7 linked regions of the Xenopus tropicalis genome follow. The protein of the gene in region 7 purifies or fractionates together with the protein of the main gene of each other region. This does not show direct contact. Links are inferred from orthologs where the notes say so. Each region holds a gene or a part of one and is shown on either strand. Other genes may lie near its edges.

The links.
Region 1: the proteins of aurka (region 7) and fbxw7 purify together in Homo sapiens (affinity purification with western blotting; 5 studies listed by BioGRID). This does not show direct contact. The link is inferred for Xenopus tropicalis from reciprocal best matches to the Homo sapiens genes AURKA and FBXW7.
Region 2: the proteins of aurka (region 7) and ppp1cc purify together in Homo sapiens (affinity purification with mass spectrometry; 3 studies listed by BioGRID, with this or other methods). This does not show direct contact. The link is inferred for Xenopus tropicalis from reciprocal best matches to the Homo sapiens genes AURKA and PPP1CC.
Region 3: the proteins of aurka (region 7) and dicer1 purify together in Homo sapiens (affinity purification with mass spectrometry; 4 studies listed by BioGRID and IntAct, counting the BioPlex papers as one, with this or other methods). This does not show direct contact. The link is inferred for Xenopus tropicalis from reciprocal best matches to the Homo sapiens genes AURKA and DICER1.
Region 4: the proteins of aurka (region 7) and ppp6c purify together in Homo sapiens (affinity purification with mass spectrometry; 4 studies listed by BioGRID and IntAct, with this or other methods). This does not show direct contact. The link is inferred for Xenopus tropicalis from reciprocal best matches to the Homo sapiens genes AURKA and PPP6C.
Region 5: the proteins of aurka (region 7) and calcoco1 purify together in Homo sapiens (affinity purification with mass spectrometry; 3 studies listed by BioGRID and IntAct, counting the BioPlex papers as one, with this or other methods). This does not show direct contact. The link is inferred for Xenopus tropicalis from reciprocal best matches to the Homo sapiens genes AURKA and CALCOCO1.
Region 6: the proteins of aurka (region 7) and wdr62 purify together in Homo sapiens (affinity purification with mass spectrometry; 3 studies listed by BioGRID and IntAct, counting the BioPlex papers as one, with this or other methods). This does not show direct contact. The link is inferred for Xenopus tropicalis from reciprocal best matches to the Homo sapiens genes AURKA and WDR62.

Annotation. Positions count from the first base shown.
Region 1 is NC_030677.2:55,438,901-55,443,194, reverse strand, and holds the start of fbxw7 (F-box/WD repeat-containing protein 7), read right to left. Parts: upstream 2,847-4,294; 5' UTR 2,718-2,846; intron 1-2,717. UniProt on the Homo sapiens protein: Substrate recognition component of a SCF (SKP1-CUL1-F-box protein) E3 ubiquitin-protein ligase complex which mediates the ubiquitination and subsequent proteasomal degradation of target proteins.
Region 2 is NC_030677.2:162,953,113-162,957,364, forward strand, and holds the start of ppp1cc (serine/threonine-protein phosphatase PP1-gamma catalytic subunit), read right to left. Parts: upstream 2,821-4,252; 5' UTR 2,643-2,820; coding exon 2,588-2,642; intron 1-2,587. UniProt on the Homo sapiens protein: Protein phosphatase that associates with over 200 regulatory proteins to form highly specific holoenzymes which dephosphorylate hundreds of biological targets.
Region 3 is NC_030684.2:88,606,317-88,610,585, forward strand, and holds the start of dicer1 (endoribonuclease Dicer), read right to left. Parts: upstream 2,868-4,269; coding exon 2,754-2,867; intron 1,949-2,753; coding exon 1,786-1,948; intron 723-1,785; coding exon 592-722; intron 1-591. UniProt on the Homo sapiens protein: Double-stranded RNA (dsRNA) endoribonuclease playing a central role in short dsRNA-mediated post-transcriptional gene silencing.
Region 4 is NC_030684.2:28,173,663-28,177,912, forward strand, and holds the start of ppp6c (serine/threonine-protein phosphatase 6 catalytic subunit), read right to left. Parts: upstream 2,849-4,250; 5' UTR 2,815-2,848; coding exon 2,740-2,814; intron 1-2,739.
Region 5 is NC_030678.2:146,549,841-146,553,419, forward strand, and holds part of calcoco1 (calcium-binding and coiled-coil domain-containing protein 1), read left to right. Parts: intron 1-698; coding exon 699-824; intron 825-1,452; coding exon 1,453-1,548; intron 1,549-2,091; coding exon 2,092-2,197; intron 2,198-2,763; coding exon 2,764-2,978; intron 2,979-3,579. UniProt on the Homo sapiens protein: Functions as a coactivator for aryl hydrocarbon and nuclear receptors (NR). Recruited to promoters through its contact with the N-terminal basic helix-loop-helix-Per-Arnt-Sim (PAS) domain of transcription factors or coactivators, such as NCOA2.
Region 6 is NC_030684.2:76,019,676-76,023,254, reverse strand, and holds part of wdr62 (WD repeat-containing protein 62), read right to left. Parts: intron 3,435-3,579; coding exon 3,362-3,434; intron 864-3,361; coding exon 752-863; intron 1-751. UniProt on the Homo sapiens protein: Required for cerebral cortical development. Plays a role in neuronal proliferation and migration.
Region 7 is NC_030686.2:6,087,821-6,092,141, reverse strand, and holds the start of aurka (aurora kinase A), read right to left. Parts: upstream 2,853-4,321; 5' UTR 2,798-2,852; intron 1,178-2,797; 5' UTR 1,169-1,177; coding exon 1,127-1,168; intron 692-1,126; coding exon 394-691; intron 1-393. UniProt on the Homo sapiens protein: Mitotic serine/threonine kinase that contributes to the regulation of cell cycle progression.

The sequences.
Region 1 (4,294 bases), on a different chromosome or scaffold from region 7:
ATAAGCTGTGCTCATGGTTACGTATTGAGTTAACTTGCAGTTTCTACTCACTTCTATTGATAATCATTTGCTACTATACAGATGCATACTATTGAAACAGCACTTTGTGGTAAACCATAGTAGCAGCGCCGGCAGCATGCAGCCTGTTGTACTGGTGAGGAAGGTTAATGCTGTAGCCCTCCTACTGTTTGTGTTGAACTAAAAACCTAAAAATGCCACACAGAGCATTCTCATTCTGGGAGCAGTACTGCAGCTATAGCTGTGCTGGACAACTTTTTTTCTTTTTTGAAGGCTTGGCCTCTTTGCATTAATAACACAGAAGGCAGTTTATATACTTTATACAAACCTGGAGCAACTGCTTAGAATGAAAAAGACACCCCTATACATGTCATGAATGTAAATTACATTGCTAAATATAATACAGGCATTTTCCACCTACTGTAATATAAATTAGTAAAGAGTTATCTAATAATAGGGAGTACTGAACATGTGGCCCGGTCCAGAAGACAATTTTTTGCTACATGTGCTCTATATTACCTAAAGCCATCTTAATGCTCTACATTTATTTAATGCCAATAATTTGTGGGGTTTTTTCTCATATTTGGTTCAACAAGGCTGTGTTTAACTGCACTGCCACTAAATGTGTAGAGGGAAACTTATTACACGGCATATAAATGAAAATAATTACCCTACAATACATACCCCTGTGATGGGCATGCCTACACAAATATAATTGTGTGTAGTGCATGTTGCTTCTGCCTCAGTTCCAAATTTCAAGAGTCAGAAAGCAGCAGCTCCATTAAAAGCTCTCAGAAAAGAGAAAGTCTCTCAGTTTCCATTACATGTGCCATAAATGATAGCACTGACAATCTTTGTGTTTTGTCTCAGTGACTTCTAACAGAGAAATGAAAAAAGCAGGTCCCTTCACCATGTGCCATAACCCCAACAGGTGTAACTTTATTTCACTCTAGTAACAGAGCAGAGAACCACTACACCTTTGATTATCATCATCAAAACTAGGGGTGACAAGCAGATTTCAGCAATCTACTGTCAATCACAAGTGACCACCAGGAGCTTAATTTATGCTATTAGTAGGTACATTCATGCCCTAAAAACAGTATATACATCTTTAGTAAGAGCTTTTTTTAATATACACATAATCCAGGAATAAAAGTGCTTTATAAAGGGTCCAGGTTGTATTTAATCTTTGGTATTTCACTTAAATAAACCTTAAACTAGGGTTCAATTAACCTTTCAACCAGGTAGACATTTGGAATTCAGAATGTTTTAGGAACAGAAGAGGCTCTGAAAACATAGACCAATAATTCAAAAAACAGGAACATTCAAATTAAAGTCTAATAGTCCATGTTTCTATTGCGGGTCAGTGACCCTGTAACTAGGTAGCTTTTCCAGCTGCAATTTGGAAGAATGTGGTAAATAATTCAGAAAGAATACAACACGAAAAGTTTATTTTAGGACGGGCAAAATTTTGTCCACACTAAAGACTGGAGTTAATTATATATATAACAAATTCTTTTATACAAAATTCAAGTTTTATTGCATCCCATACTTTATGTTACTGCAATTTGGCATCCTCTGCCTTTCAATCCTATTACAGTAAATGCTTACACTAGGGATGCACCAAATCCACTATTTTATAATCTGCCTGAACCCCTGAATTGTTTGCGAAAGATTTGTCCAAATACTGAACCAAATCCTAATTTGTATATGCATATTAGAATAAGGAAGGGTTGAAGAGAACCGTGCATGAAAATTTTTCAACTTCCGTGTGATGGATTCTAATTCGTTTTGGCCAGAGGCATGGATTTGGCCAAATATGGATATAAAAGGTCAGATCTTGGCAGAATCCTGCACCAAATCCTGGATTCAGTGCATCACTAGCTTATACACATAAGTAACCTTATCTTTAAATAAAGTTTCACTCTAATCCCCCATATGAAAACAGCTAAATGGAGCAGCACAGACTAAAGACAACACAAAGCTGGGTTCTAGTGTGACAAGTCCCTTACATGAGTCTGAGCACTAAGTGGGAATGTTCTCACCATCAGACTTCTCTTACAATGGTTTGCATAGGGTGTTGCCCCAAGATTAGTACTGTGAGCACAGCATGCCTAAGCATTAGTACTACCCACTTACTTTGGGCAAGAAAAGGATGAATTAGGCAACTTGCAGTTCAGTAATGTGTGTCACAGGCAGAAGCCCAAGTACCCCTACAGGCTGGTTTGGTGTAAATAAATTCCACTTCCAAAAAGTCCACTTCTGTAGTTCTAGAGTCTTGAGGCAATGTTTTGGATTTCATAGTATGCACAGATATACAGGATACAGAGGTATAATTGTGTGTGTGTATAAATACACAATATACACAGAGCTATACTGTGCATATGGGAGTTAATACTTACAACACTTGCACACTACACAATCTCCCAATAAAGAGTTGCCTACAAGTCTATACTGAGTACAGCAGTGGTCTTCAAAGTGCGGCTCGTCAACTGTAAAACTACAACTCCCAGAATTCCTGGACGGATTCTGGGAGTTGTAGTTAAACACAGCTAGAGAGAAGGTAGTTTTGTGTCCCTGTAGCAGGGCAAGTAAATACAAATCTACATCCACTAATGTACTACTTTAAATTATTCCCCCACACACTACACTATTTCTTTAAAGCGATCAAGTCCCGGCGGTGGCCAGCGGCCAGTTACCTGGGTGGAATGACTAGTCGGGGGCATTCGCTGCCTTTCCTGGAGCCCACACGGGCAGGCACGCAGCTCACGGAAGGAAGGCTTCTCGCCGAGAGACAGGCACGGGAGGAGAGGGAGAGAGAGGGCGCGCCGGGATGACGTCAGTCGCTCAGCAACAACCAGGGCAGCAGTCGTCGCAGCGGCTTGATGTCATACGTGGGAGACGGAAGTAGGAGGCTACTGTTACTAGCCGCTACAGTTATGTTATGGTGGGGAAAGCAGCGGCGGAGTGTATTCAGCCTGGTGCTCGCAGGTGCATGTACCGCCTACGTTAGTAAGGTCAGTGAGACTCCGTACGATTAGCTCCAGCGGTTTCTCTGATTTTCAGTCTATTGCCGAATTATAGTTTCTTGTGTCATACACTGAGTGGTTGCAGTGTTCAGCAACAGTGATCTAAATGAGCCGGGGTGCCTTATACATATCGCTTCCGATGAGGATCGAGCTGCAGAATGGGGGGGGGGGGGAGACAGGAATTTAATTAGAACGGACAGCACACGAACGTGGACAGGCAGGTGTGGGGCACAATCACCCAGGGATAGGTGCCTACTGGGGGAACAATGCCTTGAGGCGAGAGATTCCAAAATGAGCCCTCTCCCCATGATGTAGGGATGGATGGTATCTTCAGGTTATAGTCATAGTTACCAGTATATATTACTGTCTGTCTGAGAAGGGTCTCATTCATTCAGTTCTCTAAAAAAAAAAAAGTCTAGTTGATTTGACTTATTGCTATAGTTATATATTACTGTCCATAGCCATAGAAATCATAGTCCCCAGTACATTCTAGTGCTATACTCCAGCAATAACTTTAATGATATTAATTTCATCAGAAGAGTTGAAAATTGCCTTTATTCCCACGGACCAAGACTAATGCATGGATAAAAAAAATGTTTGGAGCAACTGAATGCTAATATAAATAGTACAAAGTTTGCATAGTCTGTTTGGCACATGGGCTTTAATGAGCACTGGGTAGCACATACTTTCTACATTCAGAAAGGAGTCAGGACAGAGTCTGTAGGATAGAATTAAGGATTCATTATACTTTTGGGACTTTATTTCAAGATTTGTTTTTAAACAAAATTGTTAAATTGTTACATTTAAGCCTGTGCTATGGAGAATGGTGATGCTTTATAAATAAATGCCCTTAATTGTTTAGGTGTTGGAGATTGCATTGGCACATGCAGGTCTATAGAATGTTAGCAGTTTGTGCTTACCTGCTGTGTCCTTAGCACTCTAATGGTGAATACCGAGTTGAAGATAAAACCTGAGCTAATGCTAAAAAGCCTTTTTTTTTTTTTTTTTTTAAAAAGGAAATGATACCGCCTATTTGACATGAGTTCATTCATTTGTATTAATAATTTAATTTTTTACACAGACATACATGATTCCACAGAGTGAAAGGGAACAGTAAGAATCTGTCTGAGCTTGCAGGGATTGGTTCCCCACACCCGGTAGATGATGGTGCAGAGATTCTCTCGAAAGAAGGAGGACTTTAAGTCTCAGAATTCATCCGTTCACAATAGAACAAGGTAAGGGAAGGT
Region 2 (4,252 bases), on a different chromosome or scaffold from region 7:
TCACGATACCAAAGCTTGAATGTATCCAAAACGTTCTTACTCAGCGCGACAATACGATTTTGTCGCACAAATTTTGTCGCAAAGTACGAAAAAGTCACCAAAAATACGCTCGGAGCGTTCGTGAATTAGTAAATGTAAACATGTTTTATGTTTGTAGCAAACGTTGATCAGTCCTGCACATCGAATTTTAGCCCATTCCTCTATACAGAACAGCTTCAGCTTTTGGATGTTTGTGGGTTTCCTCACATGAACAGTTTAAGTTAGGTCGTTCCACAATATTTAAATTGGAGAAGTCAGGACAAGCCCACATCTCATTTGTAATAGACAAGAGGATCTATGGGTAGCTTCTCTAAATGTGACATTTTCAGAGTAAACACTTAAGGGCACTGAATCAGGCACCATATATTATTCATTGTTACCAACACGAGAGTGACTTTCAAAAATCCAATATGTCTCCATTAAAAGGTGCAGTATCCCCCCTTGTTTAACAATAGATCAATAAATAGGTCTTCTACGGAACACTTTTTGCCCATTTCAATTTTTAAAAATCTACCTCGCAAGGACCAAACATGGAATAGCTTCAGTTTTCCTGTTTAGCTCACAAAATAAAAATGAGATTTTTCACAATTAAAACAAAAGACATAAGTATATTCAGCCCCTATTTATTAAACAAATGTTGAGAAAGGAGGTATTATTGTTCCCCATGTGTTTTTTGCTGGGTGGAATCCAGCCTTGCTCGGCCTGCGCCTAAATATTAGACTAATAGTTACAGAAGGTGGTACGACAGTTGTTTGAAGAATCTGATCGCCTACAGCAAGAGAACTTCGGTTTCAGCTGGAGTGTTGGGGCAAGCAAATATTTTTGCTGACCCCCTTTTTCTTTTCCAGCTCAGCCAATGTTTTTTTTACTGGTGAAAACTGGGTATAATGCCCCTTTAATATATGTAAAATATAGGAGCAACAAGGTTTCATTGTCTTGTCTGGACACAACCACTTATATTTTGCCCTTACAAATACATTAGCATATCAGCCTACAGAATTTTAGTCATTAACATTTAGTATGCTGCAGATTTATACAATTAAAATCTTGACTTTTATTTACTTTATATTCACAGTTGAAGGTCTAAAATGCCATGTGAATGCAAGTCAGTGAACTAGGAATTCAGAATCATTGCAAGGCTTTTATTATGTCCTTTTTTACTCACTATTTGTACTTCAATTTGAAGTAGAAAGAAAACAAGAAAATTGCATTCACCGCAGAAAATATGGGCTAATTAAGCCTGCATTCTGGTTGGGGCAAACTATACATTTTGCCCCAAAAAACACTTTGGCTTTGTATGTAATAGGGCTATGCTGTCCACACCAGGAGGTAGTGTAAAGTGGGCAGCCATATTTGGAGCCTAAACATAAGCTGGCACATTCATGCGAATGCGTGCATCACAACAGGAATGTTCACAATGAGTAAGTCAGTTAACTCATTACATATACATAAATATATGTATATAGACTATATACCATAAATAGATGCCCACTAATAGTATTGCTTTCTTCCACCCGAGTTGCAGGGTCTATTAGCCGTAAACAATTTTCCTATCACAGTTGCCCTTTAAACAAGTAACTGGTTGCAAGGACCTGTAACCCCACAAGGGAATTGCAGCCTAAGTTGCCAAATAGAGAACCGAGGAGCAAAAAGTGTTAGAGAAAAAAAAAAGAAAATGTAATGGCACCTCTACACAGAGCTAGTAGCTTACATTTCCTCATTAAAGTCACACCACATCAGCATTAATTTACTAATGAGAACAACAAATGAAAATAGATCCAGTCATTGCTGCTCACCCATTGCCCATAACTAAAGGCAAACTACACAAAATGACACAATCTATTCTTCCAACTCCCCCATATAGTGCATCAGTAAAGCTGCGAGTGAGAGCAGCACAGCTGTGGCACAGGGTCAGGATAACCCCCACCTATTGGCAATATACACAGTTATGAAGGTCAACTAAGGCAAATGGAAATAATCAGCTAATGCACAACATGCCCCCTATGGAGTGAGCAATAATCATAGTTCAATCTAAAGTCTGAAGCACCTTGGTCCCTATACGGATCGCTGCGATTCCCAGGTGTATGGAGCGCTGCGCAGTGTTAAGGATCGGATATACTGGGTGAATCCGGATTCTGCACATGGAATACACATGCAGCGGCTAGGAGCCAGCGGATCGCCTCTATACAATGTATATTGGGCCAGTCCGGCCAATAACTCGTACAACAGCCTGATTAACTAGATATATACTATGAGCAATCAGAGCGGCACCCTGTATGTACCGGAGTATAGAATAAAGTCCTGTTCCGGTAACGGCTCCGTAACGCAACTGCAGGCTGACAGCCGCTCCAACTGCCATATCAATCTCAGCACAAGGAGCCCAGCCAGGATGCTACAAACCCCGCTGCCCCAATAATAACACCGTGTATACATCATTGCTCACTCACATACATAGCTAATGGCAACCCTTTCAACCCTGCCACCACATGAAAGTAAAGTGACAGAGTGTAAGGAAACCCGGCCAGGCCTTCCCGAGTACCATCCTCACCTTCTAACAGTCGCTGTATGATGCTGTCGATGTTAAGCTTGTCAACATCTGCCATTGCTCCGAAAGTCTAAATGGCGGACCCAGTAAACTGTCGCAATAAAAACAGAAGCCCAAACGTACTGGAAACCGGGCAGGGGGCAGTCTTGGCGCCGCAGCGGCTTTTCAATCCCCCTCGCTCGTCTTCCGCTACAGACTCCCAAGAACCTGACAAAATGGCGCCACCTCCTCCCCTGCCGGCCCGCGCATGAATATCTATGCACGACCTGGTACATTTTAAAGACCCAGGCGATAGCACGTACAGTCAAATCTCAACCCACGCTGTGTTTCATTGCGCCAGCCGTTTCTGAAATTTGGCCGTATTTGCGAGCTAGGACTATTTTTTCTCTAGTGCCAAAAGTTAGTACTGCGTATATAAAAAATGGTAACCGTTATCGGTTTTAGGAATGCATTACACGTGTGAGGGTTGTTTTTGTTTTAAAAAAGATCCAGTGACATTGTCTTTGATCATTCTGTGGGTTTCTAGGTTTTGTAAATGATATTTGAATGAGGTGTAATTTCCAAAACAAAGTGAAATACTTAGTAATTTTGAAAAAACGATACACGTAAAATAAAAATAGATATGGCTACTTCACGTCAGCTAAATTTATTGTTTTCAACTAATACACAGAAATACCTTTTGGTAGCCTCCTAACAGGGTTGCCATCAGTAATTATGGGGCTACTCCTTGACACCTGAGCAGTGGATCCTGCAAAAAAGTACAATGGAGCTCCAAAAAAACCCGAATTCACTCCCATTTTTGCCAAGTTGTCCACAATCAGCCCAGACTTCACCCACTAGCCCAAAAGTCTCAGATCAGCTCTTGTGAGAAGCCCTTGCTATCAGGCCCCTGACCAAATTTCCCTCTGTCCCATCTGATGGCAGTGCTGCTGCCTAAGCTGTCACATTTAATACATTAATTGCTGTTTTTTCTCAGTAGTTGCAGAAGCCTTTGCCCCAAATAATTGTACTCCCTGACTTCATGCTTTCTGGCTTAGTAACGCAAGAAGAAACGTGCAGGTATCAATGCTTCTGTACATTGGCCAGGGCCAGGGCCAGCCAGGAGGTTTGGCAATTTCTTGGCCAGTGGAAACCCAGACACCTGAAGATCAGGAGACCAGTGTCTCAACTAGTCCAGGGTGAATAATTATTACCCTACCAACTTAGTGTTAATTGAAATCTCTACACCAGTATTGAAATAAATATGTTGTAGAAAGTTAGGACTAGGCTGCCAACAGCCTAACACCATTCTAAATGTTTGATCTGGTGCTCCCTGCAAAAAACAGCACAACTTTGGACACAAGTGCTCGGTAGATAAGCCCTTGTGCCCTTTAGTGCTCTTGCATCTGTGCCAAGGGCCTTTCTAACTGACCCCTTTACTTTTTTTTATTTCATAGTATTGTCACAAAAGGGGATTGTTTCTTTAAGATTTTTATTAGAATGAATACAAAGCTCCCAGCAGTTCACCAGTGGTTAATTTCACAGTAGATACCTCAAGGCAAGGTATATATATATTCATTTCAGGCATCATGAGCCAAAGCTCATAATGCTTTTTAAATTCCAACAATATACAAAGTAAATTGAAATGAAACAAATATCACATTACTAAATAAATACAACTGTAAAAGC
Region 3 (4,269 bases), on a different chromosome or scaffold from region 7:
TAATCTCTTTTGGCCTCTTTCTGCATTTCTGTTTTTTGTTACATGTAATATTGGATTTGATAGCCAGGACCTGACCTGGGGCTTTCCCAGATAAAGAATCTTTCCATAACTTGGAGCACCATCAGTGATGAGCACATTTTTTCACTAAGTATGGATTTGCAGTGAAATGACGCATTTCGACATCAGAAAATTTATTTGCAAAACTGCGACAAAAACTGAGAAAAAAAAAAAAGTCTCCAAGAGAAAAGTGGCCAAGACAAAAAAAGTCCCCACAAAAAAAAAAAAAAAAAAAAAAACCCCACCCATTGACTTTAATGCATTTGGAGTAAGAAAAATGGACCAGAAAGCCTCTTAGATAGATTTGAACCCAAAGATCATTTAAATAAGTGAGCATTAAAGGGGCGGCAACTTGCACCCCAGGGTATAGTAAACGACCCCTATAGGCTTTCCTTGTCTTTTAAGAGGAAGTTTTGTTTTAAAATCTCTGTAAATGCACTGATCATTTAACAGTAAATAAACTCTTATACGTTATATCTCTTATACAGACAACAATTGTGCATTCCATTTCCTTAAACAGAACAATAAAATTACCTGATGAGTTTCAAATTCTAGGTACCATCTTTCTTTTGCCCAGCATTGTGTTTTTTCTTGATCTGAATATTCTCCCACCTTGAGGTCTGTATGGGTCCTGACAGCAGACACTTGTTGAGAAACCTGTTTCTCTGAAATTTAAAATATAAAAGTTAAATATTTTATACACATGAAAGACTGATCACCACAATGCGTTATAGCAGACAAATTTTATAGGTAGTACAGGAAAAGCCACGAGACCCAAGACGCCAGATAATATCCATTAATTAACTTTCCTGCAATTTCTCTACTGATTATGATTAGCTTAACTTTGGTATTGCTATTTAAGGTTAAAGCCAAACATGATAGGTTGCCTTATTTTGTCACCACTACTTTACTCAACATAACTTTCAGAGGTCAGTAATTTCCAATACTGTATAATAGGTACAGCTAAACTATGATCTAATGTGATTCCCATTAACTATACTCAGATGCAATCAGTGACAACGCTCCATTGTAACATATTCAAGACAAAATTCAGACAACAGCTTGTCTTAAAGGGGTACCCCCTTAATAACTACTTTTTTTGAATAGAGGTGGAAATTGTACTAACCGTCAAAGTTTTAAAAGATACCTACAAACGTATTTGCTACTGAAAAAAAGATGTGCTTGTTTACATTTTCTGTACAGTGTTGCAAGATGGCTGATACAATGTGATTAAAAGAACTAAAAAAAAAAAAAAAAAAAAAATATACAGTGAATAAAGTACCACCTATTTTAAATTATAAGTAACTGAGAAGTTCCATGAACGCTTAAATGCATGAAGCCGAAGGCCAAGTGATTTTAATCAGGTCATGGCACTCCTAAGGGTGAGGGCAGACAAAGCGTATATCCGTTTCTCTCAGCCCTGCACTTTTCAGCCTAGCTGAGAGAAGTGGATCCACTTCCGTACACAGCTCTGTGAGCGTGCACTAAAACTTATGGCAAGAGCCCAAGTGTGCACACACAGATTGGAGCGGCGGTTGGCCTGAAAACACAAAAGCAAAGTTTTACACAGAGACCGCCGATCCGCTCTGCGTGCAATGGGTTTTAGTGCACGCACACAAAACTTCTGTAATTTCTGCAAAATAACTGAAAAATTACTTTTTAAATAATTTATATATATGTCTACAATTTGTCTTCTTGGTAACCTTGTAATATTTGAAATGTCTTTACCGGAATTGACCAAAAACACAGTCCTCTTAGTATTTTTGCTGAAGTCCCCACGGATCTGGTATGACAGCTCTTTACTGAGTAGTACTGCAATAAATGTCTTCCCTGAGCCAGAATTCAAACATACTATAGTATTATGATCCAATGCTGCTTCGAGTAGTTCCACCTGGAATAGGACAATATGATAAATTAGGTTTTTTTTACTGTAAGTTCTCTGTAAAAACATGAGGTGGTACAAACATTATCTAGCAGTACCCTGTAATAATAAGATGCAAGTAGTTCAATAACAGCTTTGTTGTAAAGCTAGTCATATACAAATGAACCTGCAGACAAAAAAATGCACATATCTGATTATCCAGTATGAGGAACAACAGATTGTAAGAGACCACACTGAACATGTAGATACAACCATTATTCTGGATCACCTTTGCTTACTTTTCACTCAACTGACTAAAATTTTCAGATCTACCATGAACCAATCTGTCATACATGCTCAGAGGTTAGTCAAAATCTTAGCATGCACAGTCAACTTTGTTTTGGAATCTTGGTGAAGTTGGTCATATACAGCAAGATTGTAAATACAGCAAAATATACAACAAGATTTGCAGAGATTTTTCAGGGATTGACAAAGGAATGGCTCTATTGAATGCCAACTTTCTCTAACCATGCCATGAGCCAAAGCAAACCGATTTAATATGTTCCTTGACCCTAGGCAATGTACAGATTACAAGATGGCCTATTGTGGATTGTCAGTACAGGCCAATCAATTTTTTTTTTTATTGCTCACAGAGAACAAAAACTATACACACACAAATGTAAATATGTGGAAATGTATCCTTTCACTAACTATAGAAGATCAAATAAAACAAGACTAAATAAAACCACTGCAATGATTCTGTTCTTTACAGAATAAAGGTTTTTCTGACAAACAGTAACCATCACCACCTGGGGGGGATGTCCAGTAATCATACCTGATATTTCCGTGGGGTATAAATGTTGTCATGAATAGCCTCCTGTTGCCAGGGTAGCCCAAAGAAGGGACCCATTGGAGAGGAGGCCGGAGTCATGAGCTGAAGGCCTGCCATGCTGAGGGTCTGCAAAATGCAGGGCTCTCATAAATCCAGTGACTTAAATCATTGTAATTTGCCTACTTGTTGTTTTCTGTAAGAGAAACAAAAGAACAAACATTAACTAAAAAAAACCATACTGCTGATTTGGATGGACAAATGATCTACACAAATGACATTTCATGGTGAGCAAGACACTTAACTCACAGTAAAGGCTATTTGATTTACCATAAACCTTTACCTGTGATAGATCAAAAACATCATCATATTCAATTTGGAACAAGGGGGATAAATTATGTAATACTAATTGATGTCCAGAGTATTGGATAATCTATATATTGTTAAAGGCGTTTTCACCATTAGATTACCGTAACTTTTAGTATGATATGTAGAGACTGCTATTCTGAGACAGTTTACAATTGGTCTTTATAATTTGTGGTTTTCAAATTATTTATAGCTTTGTTTTTAACAGTTCTCCAGTTTTGGAGAATTTGGAATTTCGGAAGCTATCTAGTTGCTAGGGTCTAATTTAAGCTAGCAACCAGGCCGTGGTTTAAGAGACAGAAATATGAATACAGGAGGGTCTAAATAGAAAGATTAGTAATAAAAAATAACAATTACAATAAACTGCAGCCTTACAGAGCTGGAAAGAGTCAGGATGGCAAATAATAAAAAAAAAACAAAAAACTATGAATAAAAAATGAAGACCAATTGAAAGGCCTTTCTATTACATACTAAAAGGTAACCTGAAGGTAAACCCCCCTTTTAACTATCACTTAGAATTTGCATATCTATCATTTAGCTACTTTGTCAAAAGCTACTTTGCTATTTTTCACTATGTTTAATTATTGTATTGACTTGAGAGATATAAAAAAAAAAATATATATAAGATATATTTTATCTATTTATCTATTATTATCTTATTAACACCCTGTTTGTATTAATGTATTCTACTGTACAGTGCTGCGTACATAAGTAGCGCTTTATAAATAAAGATATACATACATACATACATATATTATACTAGGAATTTTTTTTAGTTGTGACTAGGCAGATACTGAGAGAAGAACTTCATGCAGGAAATACACATTAAACCGCTATAAGGTTTAATACCCTTGAGCATCTTGCACATAACTGCAGTGTGTTGTTAATCTTACTGGAAGAAATCATATGAAAACAAAAATGTCAGTTACCGTCTCAGTGTGAAGATTCTCCAATAACACATGAAATGCATTCTGACACCATGATATTTGTTTGCAACTAATGGGCAAGCATCAGTCTGAAAAGTAACAGAAAATAGTGCCATGATAAAAGGCAAATGTTCTTTCCCCACTAGTAGTGTTTGTTTCTTAGAGAAACCAAAATTTGTTTCAGAATCATTTCTATGACCACTAATTCCCCATGTTTTAATCACTATGCG
Region 4 (4,250 bases), on a different chromosome or scaffold from region 7:
ACAAAATCTCCCTTATAGTTTGGCTTTAAAAGACACTAGTTTACTGTACACAGAGCTTCAAGCTGGCAGTCCACATGGGGCTACCAAGCAGCCAATCCCAGCGCTTACTTAGTTAGACCCATTAACTTTTTTCATACTTATGTGGCTCCACCAACACTTTTTAGATTTGAGTGTGGCTTACCAGTAAAAAAAAGTTTGGAGAGGAAAGGTGGTTTTTATTCTAGCCAAGAATACACTGCCCTTGGGGCAGCTGTTTTCAAACTCACTTTGTATAAGATTCCAATATGGTGGAGATATAGTAAAACTCTGCTGTACCAACCACAGTGTCACACCAAATATTTTCCTAGTTAACATTAAAAATAGGCTTCCAGTATCTAGAGATGCAAATAAGGCATTCTGCCCAATTCTAACCACGTGTCTCTCAAGCTTCCTTGAAGTCACCGTGAAACTGGCAGGACAATGTGTTATTAGATCAAAACCTTGCACGATCACCTGATTCTGGGCAGTCCGGCAACAAATTTAGTCATAGGTGATAATGATTGATAAGTCTTGAGCTAATGGCAGTGGCAGACGGGGAGATTAGTCACAGGTAACTAATCTCCCCGCAATGCCATCCCACCGAGCGCGAACTCTGTGGTGATTTATGGTTCTGCAACACTGGGGATTAGTTGGAGGATGGCTGCACAGTGACCACTGAGTGATTTTTAACATTTAAATAGAATTGTTTAGAATTTGTTTACCATAGCGCGGATATATTTCGACACAAAGTCTTGAGCTAATGGCAGTGGCAGACGGGGAGATTAGTCACAGGTAACTAATCTCCCCGCAATGCCATCCCACCGGCAAGAATGTAAATTGCCAGGATGGCATACACATCACTACAATTTCCCGACGTTGCCTGAAGTTTCCTCTCAAGGCAATATTGGGAAATTGTAGAGACCTCTATACCATCCCACCGGCAATTTACATTCTTGCCGGTGGGATGGCATTGCCTTAAGAAACTTCAGGTGACTTCGGTAAATCATAGCGACGCGTATGCCATCCCACTGGCGATTTACATTCTTCCATTCCAGTGGGATGGCACTGCAGGGAGATTAGTCGCCTGCGGTAATGAAGATTTGTCGTGGGGCAATTAATCTCTCTATCAGCCACTACCCTAAGGGCCGTGACACACAGGAAGATTAGTCGTGCCGCGACAAATCTCCGCTGTTGCAGGCGACTAATCTCCCCGCAATGCCATCCCACCACCTAGAATTTTAATCGCCAGTGGGATGGCATACATGGCGCCGTGGTTTGCCAGTCACCGAAGTTTCCTCTCAAGGCAACTTCGGCAAATCTCGGTGCCAAATCTACTTCTCCAGAGTGGTAAACACTGCTACAATCTTTTAAATCTAAAACAGAGACCTTTAACTGGGGCTCATTAAAATCCCCAGTCACACGAGACTCCAGTTGAACATAAAAAAAAACAAAACATAATAGTGGCCTACAGATCTCGCTCTAAAAAGTTGCATTAATAACCACAGTTACAAAAAAAATATCCATATAAAATACTAAGGACGACAATTTCTAAGTTCAGTTACAGAAGGTACCATTCTAAAGAGGAGGGTGACAGCGGTAGTCCATTAAATCCACCAATGGACATATGTCCTAGAGCTGGGCGGTATGACCAAAAATTTATATCACGGTATTTTTCAAAATTATATCGGTGTCACGGTATTTGACGGTATTTTTTTCCCCCCATGCATGATTAGGTGTTAACCCCATTTCCTAATAAATTAGAGAATAATTACTGCAGTATTGAAAATCAGGCAAGTGAAGGATCGGCTTTAAATACCCCCCATGCATGCGCAGGACCGGCGCCGTCAGCGCATCATGGACGTGCACGCTTTGACATGTACGTGCACGCTTTGACATGTACGTGCGCTTTGACATGTACGTGCGCTTTGACATGTACGTGCGCTTTGACATGTACGTGCGCTTTGACATGTACGTGCGCTTTGACATGTACGTGCGCTTTGACATGTACGTGCGCACCTGGACACGCGTGCGCAACGTCCCACGGACAACAGGACACGCGCGCACGCAAGGAGTACCCTGACACCCCGGTATTGCGGTATCTGAAAAATATAGTTTAAAAAAAAAAAAAAAAAACAACGGTATTCGGTATTAAACGGTATATCGCCCAGCCCTAATATGTCCTACTGAAACTGACTACCCTCACGTGTATTGTGTTTGAATCTTTCTACACAGAGTTTGACTATGTAGCTATAATCCTTAGGCGAACGTACACTGGCACACAAGTGTTAAAAAGGCAGTTTTCACATAAAAAAAGTAAAACAATAGATCTATTCATTAAAACATTCAATAGTTTTACAGTTATTTGTCTGCAGTGCCTGCCTGGTCGAATTTCTGACTCTTGAAAGAGTGTAGAAGTCAGTAGTCCTGCAGGAAAACTAACTTCTGCTACAGTCGTAAAAAAAAAAAAAAAAAATCATAAGCGCAGAAACGGGAGGGTTTGTATTAAAATAACATTGACAAGTAAGCTTACTGAGAAGAAATACATATCATGCATACACACTATGCAAAAACTGTTATTGGGGAGATCTCCATTAAGCAAACGCTGAAGCAATCACCAGAAGGCAAAAAGACTGTATCATGGACGTCCCGTCTCTGCAAGGCTGTAATCAGATATCACTAATACGAAAACCATTCATAGGTCTTGGCGGAGCCGCAACTCACCTTCAGGTCATTTTCAGGAAGATATTTGCATTGCCGGGCAATCTCCACATACTTATCCAGGTCCAGCGGCGCCATTTTGAGCAGCAAAGTATCTACTTGGGCGGGAGGCACCGGGCAAAATGTCACTTCCGGTTCGGTAGCTCACTTCCTGGTTACGTTCTTCCTGGTCGATCAGGCAGCATAAACGTTCTCTTTCAATTAACTTTATTTAGACGTGTCTCGTTAGGGCCATTACTGACGTTTCAAGGGCCTCAAACGGCACCAAAGAGAGATCTGTAAGACAAAACCAGCTAAAAATCTACTCAGGAGAAGTTTTTAGGCTTACGCCTTGAAAGATTTTTTTTATTAGAAAATACTTATTAGCACGTCTTGTTTTCTATTTGTTTTTCTTAAACAAACATTAAACATTAAAATGAACAAAGCATCGCCTGAAAAATTTGCCTTATGTAGTTATATTATATTTTGTTTATAGATATTGAGCTGCTATAGAACACGTTTGCCAAGACAATGCTCAGTATCCATAGACACATTCTATAGATTCCATATGGGCTGGATTGGAAAATTGGCAATTTTTTGACCACGCCCACTTTGTGACCACGCCCCCAATTACCACACCCCATTTTTAAAATAGTTAAAATAGTGCCCACAATGGCCCAATAGACAGCACCCCCATACACAGTGCACCCCATACACAGTGCCCCCCCATACTCAGTGCCCCCCCATACTCAGAGCCCCCCATACACAGAGCCCCCCCATACACAGTAGCCCTCCTTACACAGAGCCCCCCATACACAGAGCCCCCCCATACACAGTAGCCCTGCTTACACAGAGCCCCCCCCATACACAGAGCCCCCCCATACACAGTGCCCCCCATACACAGTGCCCCCCATACACAGTAGCCCTCCTTACACAGTGTCCCCCCATACAATGCCCCCCATACACAGTACCCCCCATACACAGAGCCCCCCAATTGCCCCCATAGTGAGTACCTCCAATAGAAAATGCCCCCATACATAGCGGCCCCCATAGACTTCTTGCGGCTCCTGCTCCTTATTCGGCTCTTCGTACGGCGGTGACAGGACCTTTTATAAGGTTGTGCCCGTGCGTACGTGTGACATCACACGTACGCACGGGCGCAACCTTATAAAAGGATCTGTCGCCGCCGTACGAAGAGCCGAATAAGGAGCAGGAGCCCAAGAAGAGACGGAGCCGGAGCGCTCCGCTGCAGCCAGCGCGTCCCGCTGACCTGGATAGTTTAATGAATGTTCTGCATTTCTGTAATGCGGGACATTGATTGAACAATCCGGGACAGCGGGACGCGCTGTAAAAACCGGGACTGTCCCGCGAAAAGCGGGACAGTTGGGGGGTATGCTTAAACGTATTTGCTTCCAATTTAGGAGTTAAACGTATATTTTTGTTGTGATTACAATGCCAACTAGTTATGCCACTGATGCGCCTCACCATTTCGGAATTAGGGTGCAGTTTACCCTAGCAACTAGGGATGTAGCGAA
Region 5 (3,579 bases), on a different chromosome or scaffold from region 7:
TCTTAGGGTGACAGGTCCCCTTTTATGAATCAGATAAGTGAGTGTAGGACTGGCCAGATTGGGGATGACTTTGACGCAGCTTGAAGTATATTGCAATATATGGACAAACAATCCCTGTTTTGCTTAAAGGGGTGGGCATTGTTTGGTGAGTGCAGAGCATCTCTTGTTGTTTTTAATTTAGTTTTAATTTAATTTGTGGTCACAGCCTCATTGCACCCCCACCTAATGGTTTTAAATATAGTGGTGAGCACAACTTTCCCTTTTTTGCTATACTAACAAACCTGGGCAATTTGCTCAAGAAGAATGTACATAATGACATAAAATGTAGCAGCTAAAGGTATAAATGGTATCATTGTAGCATTTTGTAGCTGAAGTTATTTTATTATTAGCCAGCCTAATGTTTAAACTTCTGTTTTTAACTTATTCTGCGTTCCATTTAAAATAAATCAGTTGTCAAAACTATACAAAGAACTACAAGCTTGGGTACTTTCATTCCTGTAAGTAATTTATTTTTCTGTAAAAAAAAAAAAAAAAAATCTCTTGCTGTGCGGTATGTTGCAATACAGAAGGTATATACTGTATGTAATGGCTCTTGGAAAACAAGTGCAGAAGTAAAGTGCATGTGTAACACCAACCAGTTAGAATTAAGGTTCCTTATTCTGTAAGCTAAGCCAGAGAAACTGTCTTCTATATTGCAGGCCAAGAGGGATCAGATTGTGAATCTGAAAGCAGAAAAACTAAGCCTGGAAAGCAGTCTGCAGGAGGAGAAAAGTCAGAGGCAAACATTGCAGTGCAAACTTAACCAGGAATCAGATGCCAGACAGGTACTACCCCCAGAACCCCCATACTCTGGGAGGCCATACTTTACTGGAAGCTTATTATTTGAACTAGAACAATGTTTAGTTAGTAATGGACACTGTAGAAAGATGGAGGTAAACTATATCGACAAGCCTGAGTCTGATTCTAGTGTTGGCATCGTGTGACCTTGGATAAAGTAGTTATTAAATGTAGCCATACATTCTTTGAATGCAGTGGTCAGTTGGACCAAGACAAAGCATGACAATGCTTGTGTTTTGCATATATGTTTTATAAGGAGCTCAATAGATGCCCAACACAGACTGCCTTCTTCAATGTACATCATTATACCATGATTTTCCTCTTTTCCCTAAATGCATCAGGCATTTTGAAAATACAGCGTTGTGTATTTTCACATAATAAAGTTGTCTTTTTGTCCTCTGCATCTAAACTTTTGCCATAAGAATCTTGCTCAATTAGAGCTTCTCTGAACCAGAAAGGTGTGATAAAATAACAGCATTTATACAGTGCTGCGGAATATGTTGGCGCTTTATAAATAAATGTTAATAATAATAATGTTAATAATTTATAAATCTGGGAAAAGTTATTTCCAGCAATGAATCTACTGCAGTTCCTTATCTGTCTACCACGGTACAGGTACAGTTATCCGAGAACAGACGAGAGCTGAGTGAATTGAAATCTGCCCTAAAAGTTGCACAGATGGAGAAGGAGCAACTGAGAGAGGAAAGGCAGGTGAGACATTTACCGCCATATCTCCATTACTTGCCTGTCATCAAGCATCTGCTCTGCAGAAGTAAGTGCCACATGTGGGTAATGGAGCAAGGCAGCACAAGCAGAAATGCTGATACCTTTTGTATAGCAACCTATGGGATGGTGGTTTTTAGTTACATTACTTCTGATTTAATATACATTCATCTAATTAAACACTTGTCTAAAACATTTCATTTTTATGCTTACTTAACCACTAACAACTATACAGAACAATAGAAATATACATCTATATTTATATATATATATATATATATATATTGTGTGTATATATATATATATATATATATTGTGTGTATATATATATATATATATATTGTGTGTATATATATATATATATATATAACACAAAGTACTGTTTTATTATTACAGAGAAAATTGAAATAATATCTAAAGTTTCTGAGCTTTCTGCATAATGGTTTTCCAGATAAGGAATCTCATACCTTTATTTGATCTTATTAATGACATGTCTCATGGTTTACCTTCTTTGTTCTTTTTTTGTTTTAGGAAATGCTCCAGTATGTTCATAGGCTGGAAGAACGGCTAGACAAGCTGGCTGATGAGAAATGGAAAGAAGAAGAGATACTTATGGAAGAAACAACAGCAGACCTAAGTATGCACTTAAGTGCCCTCTGTATGATTTAACATTTACCCCTTGTTGTCCTAGATTTCATTTATTGGCTAGTTTTTAAATATGTCTATTATTGTTCTGTGCATGATGCCTTAGAGAAGATGCGGTTGCTTATCTTATGTACTGGTGACATGCAACCTTGGCAGCTGCAGTGTTTGTACAGTGGCTGTTATGGTGTTCTAGAAGTTTCTAGATCAGCAGCAGGTTGAAGCTGTAGGTTAAAAACTGCTACTTGTTCATGTATTATACGTGATAAGTTACTATTTACATTTGTAGGTGTTCCTGTAACTAATTGCTTTTTTGTGTAAATAAAAACAGGTTATTAGTCATGCTATCTACCATCTGATAATAGGAAGGGATAGTAGGGACGGAGAGAAAATGTTTATGCCACTTGGAAAGTAATGTTAGTTTGGCAAGTGAAGCTGCAGAGGGATTATAGTTCAGATTATTATTTTTGTTGATCGCCTTGAATGTGAGTATTTACAGAGAATGGTTTAAAAGTAGAGGCTGTTTAGAACTGTCTGATGTTTTGTGTACCTTCTGTACAGGTCCTCCTACTTCACCAGTGGATCTTTCTGATTCAGATGATGAATCTTCAGGGGATGAGAGAGAATCTCAGAAGCTTGGAGCATGTTCCTTTGATAAAGAGGACATCTCCTTGGACATACCGTTGTTTCCATGTGAGCCTCAGAAGGTGGTGATAAACCAACCTGCACCGATTGCTTGTCAACTGCAGCCTCTCCCTGAGGACAATGTTGATTCAGTGAGTAATACTTGTTTGACTGTGTTCATTCAGCAAAATGAACTTGCATGACTCTACAATGACTATAACTTGCAAACACAACAATTGGTAACAAAGATATATGCTCTTACCTCTGTACACAAATACTAACAGGAGATAAGGTGGGCCTATAACAAATGAAGTACCTTCAGTGAACACCATTAGAGCAACTGCACTTGTGTGGATTAAGGTAAAAATCTACCAAATATTCATACAGTGCTTTCCATTATAATTTCCATAAGCAGATATAGGGGTGAGATACTAGAAAACATATTAGGGTATAGAAAAAAGACAAATAGAAAGCATTGCACTCAACAGCACTCAAAAAGGCTTTATTTAAATCCCAACATTTTGGTCACACTTAGTGACCTTTCTCAAGGGAAACAAACAATTAAGTGATTCCCTGTCCTGAGTGCAGTGCTTTCTATCTTTATTACTATCTTCATTTGCACCCAGGCAGCTGTTTTATTACATTTGAGTGTTCCTTTCAGTACTATATATATAAGTCTTATAGAGAAGAATAGATCTTCTAGAAACCAGGAACAGTTTCTGAAGGATGAGAGAATAAACATCAGTGGCCTAA
Region 6 (3,579 bases), on a different chromosome or scaffold from region 7:
TTAAAAAAATGACACGTTATTGTAAAATGTTAAGGTGGAACTGTGAAAGAAAATCATAAAAGAAAATATAACTCTAAGCAACTTTTATAATATGTATTCATTCAAAATGGTATGTGTTAATGCATATATTCCTGCATCCTTGCCTATGACTTCTGTATTGCTGCATGCCAGCTAATTAAAAGAAACAGATTTTTTTTTTTTTTATAGATAGGCCCAGAGAACAGAAAGATCAGGACTGCATTTACAAATAGCTTTAAAACCACTATGAATAGTTGCAGTTTTATATTGCTAATTATAGAAAACCATAGGTGGGAGATCCACTATTTGCCATTAGACTTAGACCACAGGGCCCCAGTTTAGTCCACTGCTCCCTCCCTAACCAAATTACATGGATTCATAAAACAAAATTTCCCTGTCCCTCCAGTTGCAGAACTGCATAACTGGGTTGGTGGCTGCAATGTTTGCCCATGTAGCTCCACAGTTGCAATATTTGAGAAGAAGCGTGTACCCTGAATGCTAGGACCAGATCAGAGTCTTAAACAGGATGTGCATGGCCAAACAGATTGGTCACCAACCCAGCTGCACTGCATTATCCATTAAATACATGTACTGTAAAAACATTCAGGATTTGGATATGGACCTCAGTGTTAACATAGCTAATGTGTTATTTTTTACTTTTGCACTATTTCTTTTTCTTTCTTGTTAGCACAAGGAAATGTATAAATAGAAATGCAATGTAAGTACTACTAACCTGAATGGCCATATACCTCTGCTATACATTCTCCAGATAGCAAATCAAAGAAGGATATGTTCTTACTGGAGCAACTAGTTGTAAAAAATGTTCCAGAGGGATCAATTTGCACCTAATATAATGAAAGGATTAAAATGGATCCATTAGAACTTATTCTCAGCTTATTTCCTTGGTCCAATTATAAAACATGCCAATGGCAAGCACATATTTTTAATTACTTAAGACATCCCACATTTTACTATTTCCCCTCGCTTTTTAGCAACATTGCGGCAAACATGGTATAAAATGAAGATTCCTGACCTAATGAGAATATAAATAAGTCGAAAAAGAGAAAAGAGTAAATTTAACCCCTCTGGATTTCCCATCAATCCCAAGTAATTAAATTATAAAAGCATTACAAAGTACTGTTACCCAACTACTAATAAAGTGACACGTGCCTCAATTGCAAAAGGTACAGATTAATGATTAATCAATCACAATATAATATAAAACAATTTATTGACTACCAAAAAGTGCTCATGCCAATTAAAATTGAAGTTTATTAACTTGATTCATTGATAAAGAGTGCCAGTGCTCTAATTAAAATGAAAAATTACCCACATAAATCAATATATAAAATTATTAATGATTAATCAATAACAATATAATCTATAGCAACTGATTAACTACCATAAAGTGATCATGCCACTTGAAGTTGAAGGAGTTAATTAACTTAATCCACTGTTGAAAAGTGCCAATGCTCCAATTAAAATGAGAATTAATTGCCACAAAAATAAATTGGACCTGTATTTCATCCGGATAAAAGTTAGGAAATAGGAAATTTCTAGAAGGTAGAGGTGTCCCCAAAACTACTCTCTCTTTGGAATTGCTATAGAATACATGGGACAAGAAGGAGAAGGCAGGATGCCAGAGACTGTGGTCTCATGTATTCCCTTCCCTACTTCAATAGAGAGAACTATCTTGCCTGAAAAACCACAAATCCAGGTCCCCTTGGATTAAGAAAAGGAGAATGAGAACTGAAGCACATGCATATCACTGAAAATTTCCCAGCAACCCCCTGAAATTATACTGTACTGGTTTGTATTAAAAGGTAGGGATTACTCAATTACAGAAATTCACTATAAAATCAAAGATTCCCACCAATGTGCGTTTTGCATAAAGCTTTCTCAAGGCAAGGTTATAAATAGATATACAGGTATGGGATCCCTTATCGGCAAAACTGATATCCAGAAAGCTCCGAATTACCGAAAGCCCGTCTCCCATTTTAATCAAATAATTCAGATTTTTTAAATTGATTTCCTTTTTCTCTGTAATAATAAAACAGTACTTTGTATTTCATCCCAACTAAGATATAATTAATCCTTACTGGATGCAGAATTATCCTATTAGTTTTAATTAATGTTTTATTGATTTCTTAGTAGACTTACGGTATAAAGATCCAAATTATGGAAAGACCCCTTATCGGGAATACCCTTGGTCCTGAGCATTCTAGATAACAGGTCCTTTACCTGTACAGGTATGGGATCCGTTATCCGGAAACCAGTTATCCTGAAAGCTCCAAATTATGGAATCAAATACGTCAGATTTTTAAAATTGGTTTCCTTTTTCTCTATTATAATAAAACCGTACTTTGTACTGCCCCAAACTAATATATATTTAACCCTTACTAAAAACAAATTGGTAACCACTGTAGTGCTCATTTTATAACTCATGGGAGAAACTACTGCAAAAGAGGGCAAATGATTTTCAAGCAATAACACTTTCATGTCCTGTCATCTCCTGTTACAGGAAAAGTATAACAAAATTACGTGATAAGGTTAGATCAAGATTTCTTTTGTGGTCAGTTTTTTGTTTTGATGAAATAATTGTGAGTTTGCCTTTGTGGCCATTTTTTATTATACAGTCAAAACCTTTGTGCCAAAAAAGTATATTGGTAGGTAGGTTTGCCTCTTGGCTGGTATTTTACCAGCCTGGCTAGTTAAACCGTGTTTGATGCCCATGTTATTAATAGGGAAGATGTAAAAATATAGGAAGGTCTGTATTTTTATTCCAAAAAAGTTGTCAACCCTGATGGTAGTTAAGCGTGAACTATTGTTTTCAGCATCGCTTGCAAATGTTATATTTTCAATATTGGAAATTCAAAGCATAGGCAAAGCTCAGTTTTCCCTGGTGAAGTAGGTCATATTACTGCCTGAATTCAATGCAGAAACATCGATGGCATCAAACAGGCTAATGGGGTCAGTGATACCCAGCGTGTCTTCATCTTAAGAGTGTCAAGGATGTGGCCATTTTGAAGGTAAATATACATCCATGACTTATATCATAAAGTTGCAAAGACATTAGAAGGCATATATTAAAAAGGCATTTTTACTCTAAAGGAGGGAACTTATGATTCTATGTTTGGCTATTTAACACAGTTACCTACAGAATCCTGCTCGATCTATTGTATTGATACTCTACTAAAATGCTTATTTACAGTTCTAAATCCATGATCACTTTCAAAGGATCTTTTGCATTTACATTTGCATAAATGTAAAATGCCCCATGTATGTAAACATATGGCATATTTAGAGTTATTCCATTTTTGAAGGTACATTGAAGGTACATTACCTTTAGTAATGCCCCTCCATTTGGAGAGCTTTTAAGAATCTTCTCTTGTTTACCACTTGAAATACTGTACAATCTATGAAACAAAATCATTATTTAAGGTTGGGTCACAGCGGGATACATTTAAGAGCTTCTAATTCCCATGAAACTCCAATAATGTAAAAAAAAAAGCATGTTCATACATTTTAAAATCTGCAAGAAATATAACTGAAGAAAGCCAA
Region 7 (4,321 bases):
CGCGGCCCAAAGCACACAGCCACCGGCCAGAGGCAACGCGGCCCAAAGCACACAGCCACCGGCCAGAGGCAACGCGGCCCAAAGCACACAGCCACCGGCCAGAGGCAACGCGGCCCAAAGCACACAGCCACCGGCCAGAGGCAACGCGGCCCAAAGCACACAGCCACCGGCCAGAGGCAACGCGGCCCAAAGCACACAGCCACCGGCCAGAGGCAACGCGGCCCAAAGCACACAGCCACCGGCCAGAGGCAACGCGGCCCAAAGCACACAGCCACCGGCCAGAGGCAACGCGGCCCGAAGCACACAGCCACCGGCCAGAGGCAACGCGGCCCGAAGAACACAGCCACCGGCCAGAGGCTATTGCAGTAAGCTCTCAAGTCCCAGGGCACTTACTGGAGGAATGGCTGGTCTGCTGTGGAGTACGATTCTCATTTGGTCCCTGTGGTTTGCCAGCCTGATGCCCATGAGTTACTGGCCTCAGTGGCCCCTGAGTCATTGGCTTCTGAGTGGACATAACAGGTTTCTGAGCGGACATAACAGGTTTCTGAGCCTGAGACACGACTCGCTGTGGCACATTGGAGGGACCCAATATCCTCTGGGCAGAGACGGCAGTCCCAGGAGGTCTAACCTGGGTGCTCGGAGGCTGGGTAACTGGGATACGTTTGGGACCCTCCATTGTGGGGTGGAAAACCTACAGTAAAGAAAAAGAGAAACCTTAGTAAGAATAATCAAATGCCAAACCATGGATGTAAAGATCTCTGGGAAACAACTTCCCTGGGCAGCTAAGGATGCTGGGAATTTCTTAGCACAGACTATGGTCAGTAGTCTGACAGTTCTTTATTACCAGGGAGAATGCATAACATTAAAGAGAGAAACCCAAAAGACTTTTACAGACATTAAACTGAGCATTTTGTGGCGCAGGCAGAGGAACGTCGTGTTACCGGCGCAAGGGCAAGTATTCCCTCCTTCTGCCTTCCAGTGTGATCGAGTTACTGAACTACACATCTCAACAGTTTACATCTCACAGCGATAAAGATAATCACCTACTGAGGCGCAGGGGAACTTAAATACAAAAAGAAATAGTGGCTCCCCAAGTGCTTAGTAACTTGGGCAGATAAAGACTTACCTTGACATTAGAAGGAAGATTCTCTTTAACAGCCCGTTCCATTATATGTGCCTGTCACCAACATATTCAGTTATATAAACCGTCAATAGAAACCGAGCAAACATTGCAAGTTCTTATGCTTAGAGAGATTTGGGGTGAGTGAGTAATCTTATTAGGCCCATGGTACCCCTGGAACTATAGCGGGGTGACTGTTACCCCAATGTTTCTATATATCTGTAACCTTGTTATGGGCTAAGGGGGCCCAGCCTGAAGGCCAGTTAGGGGGGGATTTGGGGTGAGTGCTTATTTGTGCCCTGGGTACCCCTGGAACTATAGCGGGGTGACTGTTACCCCAATGTTTCTATATATCTGTAACCTTGTTATGGGCTAAGGGGGCCCAGCCTGAAGGCCAGTTAGGGGGGGGATTTGGGGTGAGTGCTTATTTGTGCCCTGGGTACCCCTGGAACTATAGCAGGGTGACTGTTACCCCAATGTTTCTATATATCTGTAACCTTGTTATGGGCTAAGGGGGCCCAGCCTGAAGGCCAGTTAGGGGGGATTTGGGGTGAGTGCTTATTTGTGCCCTGGGTACCCTGGAACTATAGCGGGGTGACTGTTACCCCAATGTTTCTATATATCTGTAACCTTGTTATGGGCTAAGGGGGCCCAGCCTGAAGGCCAGTTAGGGGGGATTTGGGGTGAGTGCTTATTTGTGCCCTGGGTACCCCTGGAACTATAGCGGGGTGACTGTTACCCCAATGTTTCTATATATCTGTAACCTTGTTATGGGCTAAGGGGGCCCAGCCTGAAGGCCAGTTAGGGGGGGGGATTTGGGGTGAGTGCTTATTTGTGCCCTGGGTACCCCTGGAACTATAGCAGGGTGACTGTTACCCCAATGTTTCTATATATCTGTAACCTTGTTATGGGCTAAGGGGGCCCAGCCTGAAGGCCAGTTAGGGGGGGATTTGGGGTGAGTGCTTATTTGTGCCCTGGGTACCCCTGGAACTATAGCAGGGTGACTGTTACCCCAATGTTTCTATATATCTGTAACCTTGTTATGGGCTAAGGGGGCCCAGCCTGAAGGCCAGTTAGGGGGGGGATTTGGGGTGAGTGCTTATTTGTGCCCTGGGTACCCCTGGAACTATAGCAGGGTGACTGTTACCCCAATGTTTCTATATATCTGTAACCTTGTTATGGGCTAAGGGGGCCCAGCCTGAAGGCCAGTTAGGGGGGGATTTGGGGTGAGTGCTTATTTGTGCCCTGGGTACCCCTGGAACGATAAGGATCACCCTTTTTCCTGCTGGGGGGGGGGGGGGCAATCATCTCCAGACTGGGAGCCCAAATCCAAAATCCCACACATTACCAACTCCCAAAACTCAGTCATGGATTAACACTAAATACTAAGGCCTGTATGGGCCCCACACAAACACATGGGGGGGGGGGGGGGGGCAATACTAAGGCCTGTATGGGCCCCACACAAACACATATGGGGGGGGGCAGTACTAAGGCCTGTATGGGCCCCACATGAGCCAGTGCCACTGGGAGATGCAGTTTCATTGGCCCATAAAGATAACCAATGGCTGAAGCACAGAGGGTGCAGCTGTTACAGCCCAGAATATATAACTCAGTTCACACAACACTCCCGAACCATATGAAACAAAGCTCCCCATTGGCCCAGTCACACACACACACCTGGCAGCCGAATGTGCGGGCCGGGACTCTAGCAGCTCTCACACAGACCGGATTGCAGCAGCTGAAGCCACGGACAGACACTGGTTAGCGGCAGACGCAAAACCGACAGCTCCGCTTCCCGTCAGGCAGAACACTCGCCTCACTTCCTCCAACCGTCACAGCCCACTCCGATTCAAATCGCCCGCTTTTAAATCCCTTTAACCCGCTCCGAGCGCTGATTGGCTGCAGGCGGTCAGCTGCCTCGCTTTGATTGGTGGAGAGCGGAGATCCGTTAGGTATCCGAGTGACAAGAGCTTGACGCGCAAGGCGCCTGCGCGTTGGTGTGTGACGTGTTAGACGCTGGCCTGTCGCGCCTGTATGACGTATAGTCGGGTCTGGGAGCGCTTTCTGGTTTGAAAGAGTTTTATCTGGGCCTTTACTGAGTATCTGTGCGCACTTACCGGCATAGCCCCGCCCCGCCCAGGAACCGGAAGCCTTTCTGCTCGGTGAGTATCCTGCCCGCTCCCTCTCTGCCAGTCACTATGTGCTGCCCGCTATTATATCCCATACACACAGCAATATGGCTGCCCAATGGCTCCGGTGCATCGGTCCCTTCCCTGCACTGCTGGTTCTGACTCCTGATACAACTCCCCAATACCCATTCATTCCTCATTCTCACTGGGTTTATAGTTATGTGTAACTGTCACTGTGTCTGTCCCTTTCCCTTCCCTGCACTGCTGGTTCTGACTCCTGATACAACTCCCCAATACCCATTCATTCCTCATTCTCACTGGGTTTATAGTTATGTGTAACTGTCACTGTGTCTGTCCCTTTCCCTTCCCTGCACTGCTGGTTCTGACTCCTGATACAACTCCCCAATACCCATTCATCCCTCATTCTCACTGGGTTTATAGTTATGTGTAACTGTCACTGTGTCTGTCCCTTTCCCTTCCCTGCACTGCTGGTTCTGACTCCTGATACAACTCCCCAATATCCATTCATTCCTCATTCTCACTGGGTTTATAGTTATGTGTAACTGTCACTGTGTCTGTCCCTTTCCCTTCCCTGCACTGCTGGTTCTGACTCCTGATACAACTCCCCAATATCCATTCATCCCTCATTCTCACTGGGTTTATAGTTATGTGTAACTGTCACTGTGTCTGTCCCTTTCCCTTCCCTGCACTGCTGGTTCTGACTCCTGATACAACTCCCCAATATCCATTCATTCCTCATTCTCACTGGGTTTATAGTTATGTGTAACTGTCACTGTGTCTGTCCCTTTCCCTTCCCTGCACTGCTGGTTCTGACTCCTGATACAACTCCCCAATATCCATTCATTCCTCATTCTCACTGGGTTTATAGTTATGTGTAACTGTCACTGTGCCTGTCCCTTTCCCTTCCCTGCACTGCTGGTTCTGACTCCTGATACAACTCCCCAATATCCATTCATCCCTCATTCTCACTGGGTTTATAGTTATGTGTAACTGTCACTGTGTCTGTCCCTTTCCCTTCCCTGCACTGCTGGTTCTGACTCCTGATACAACT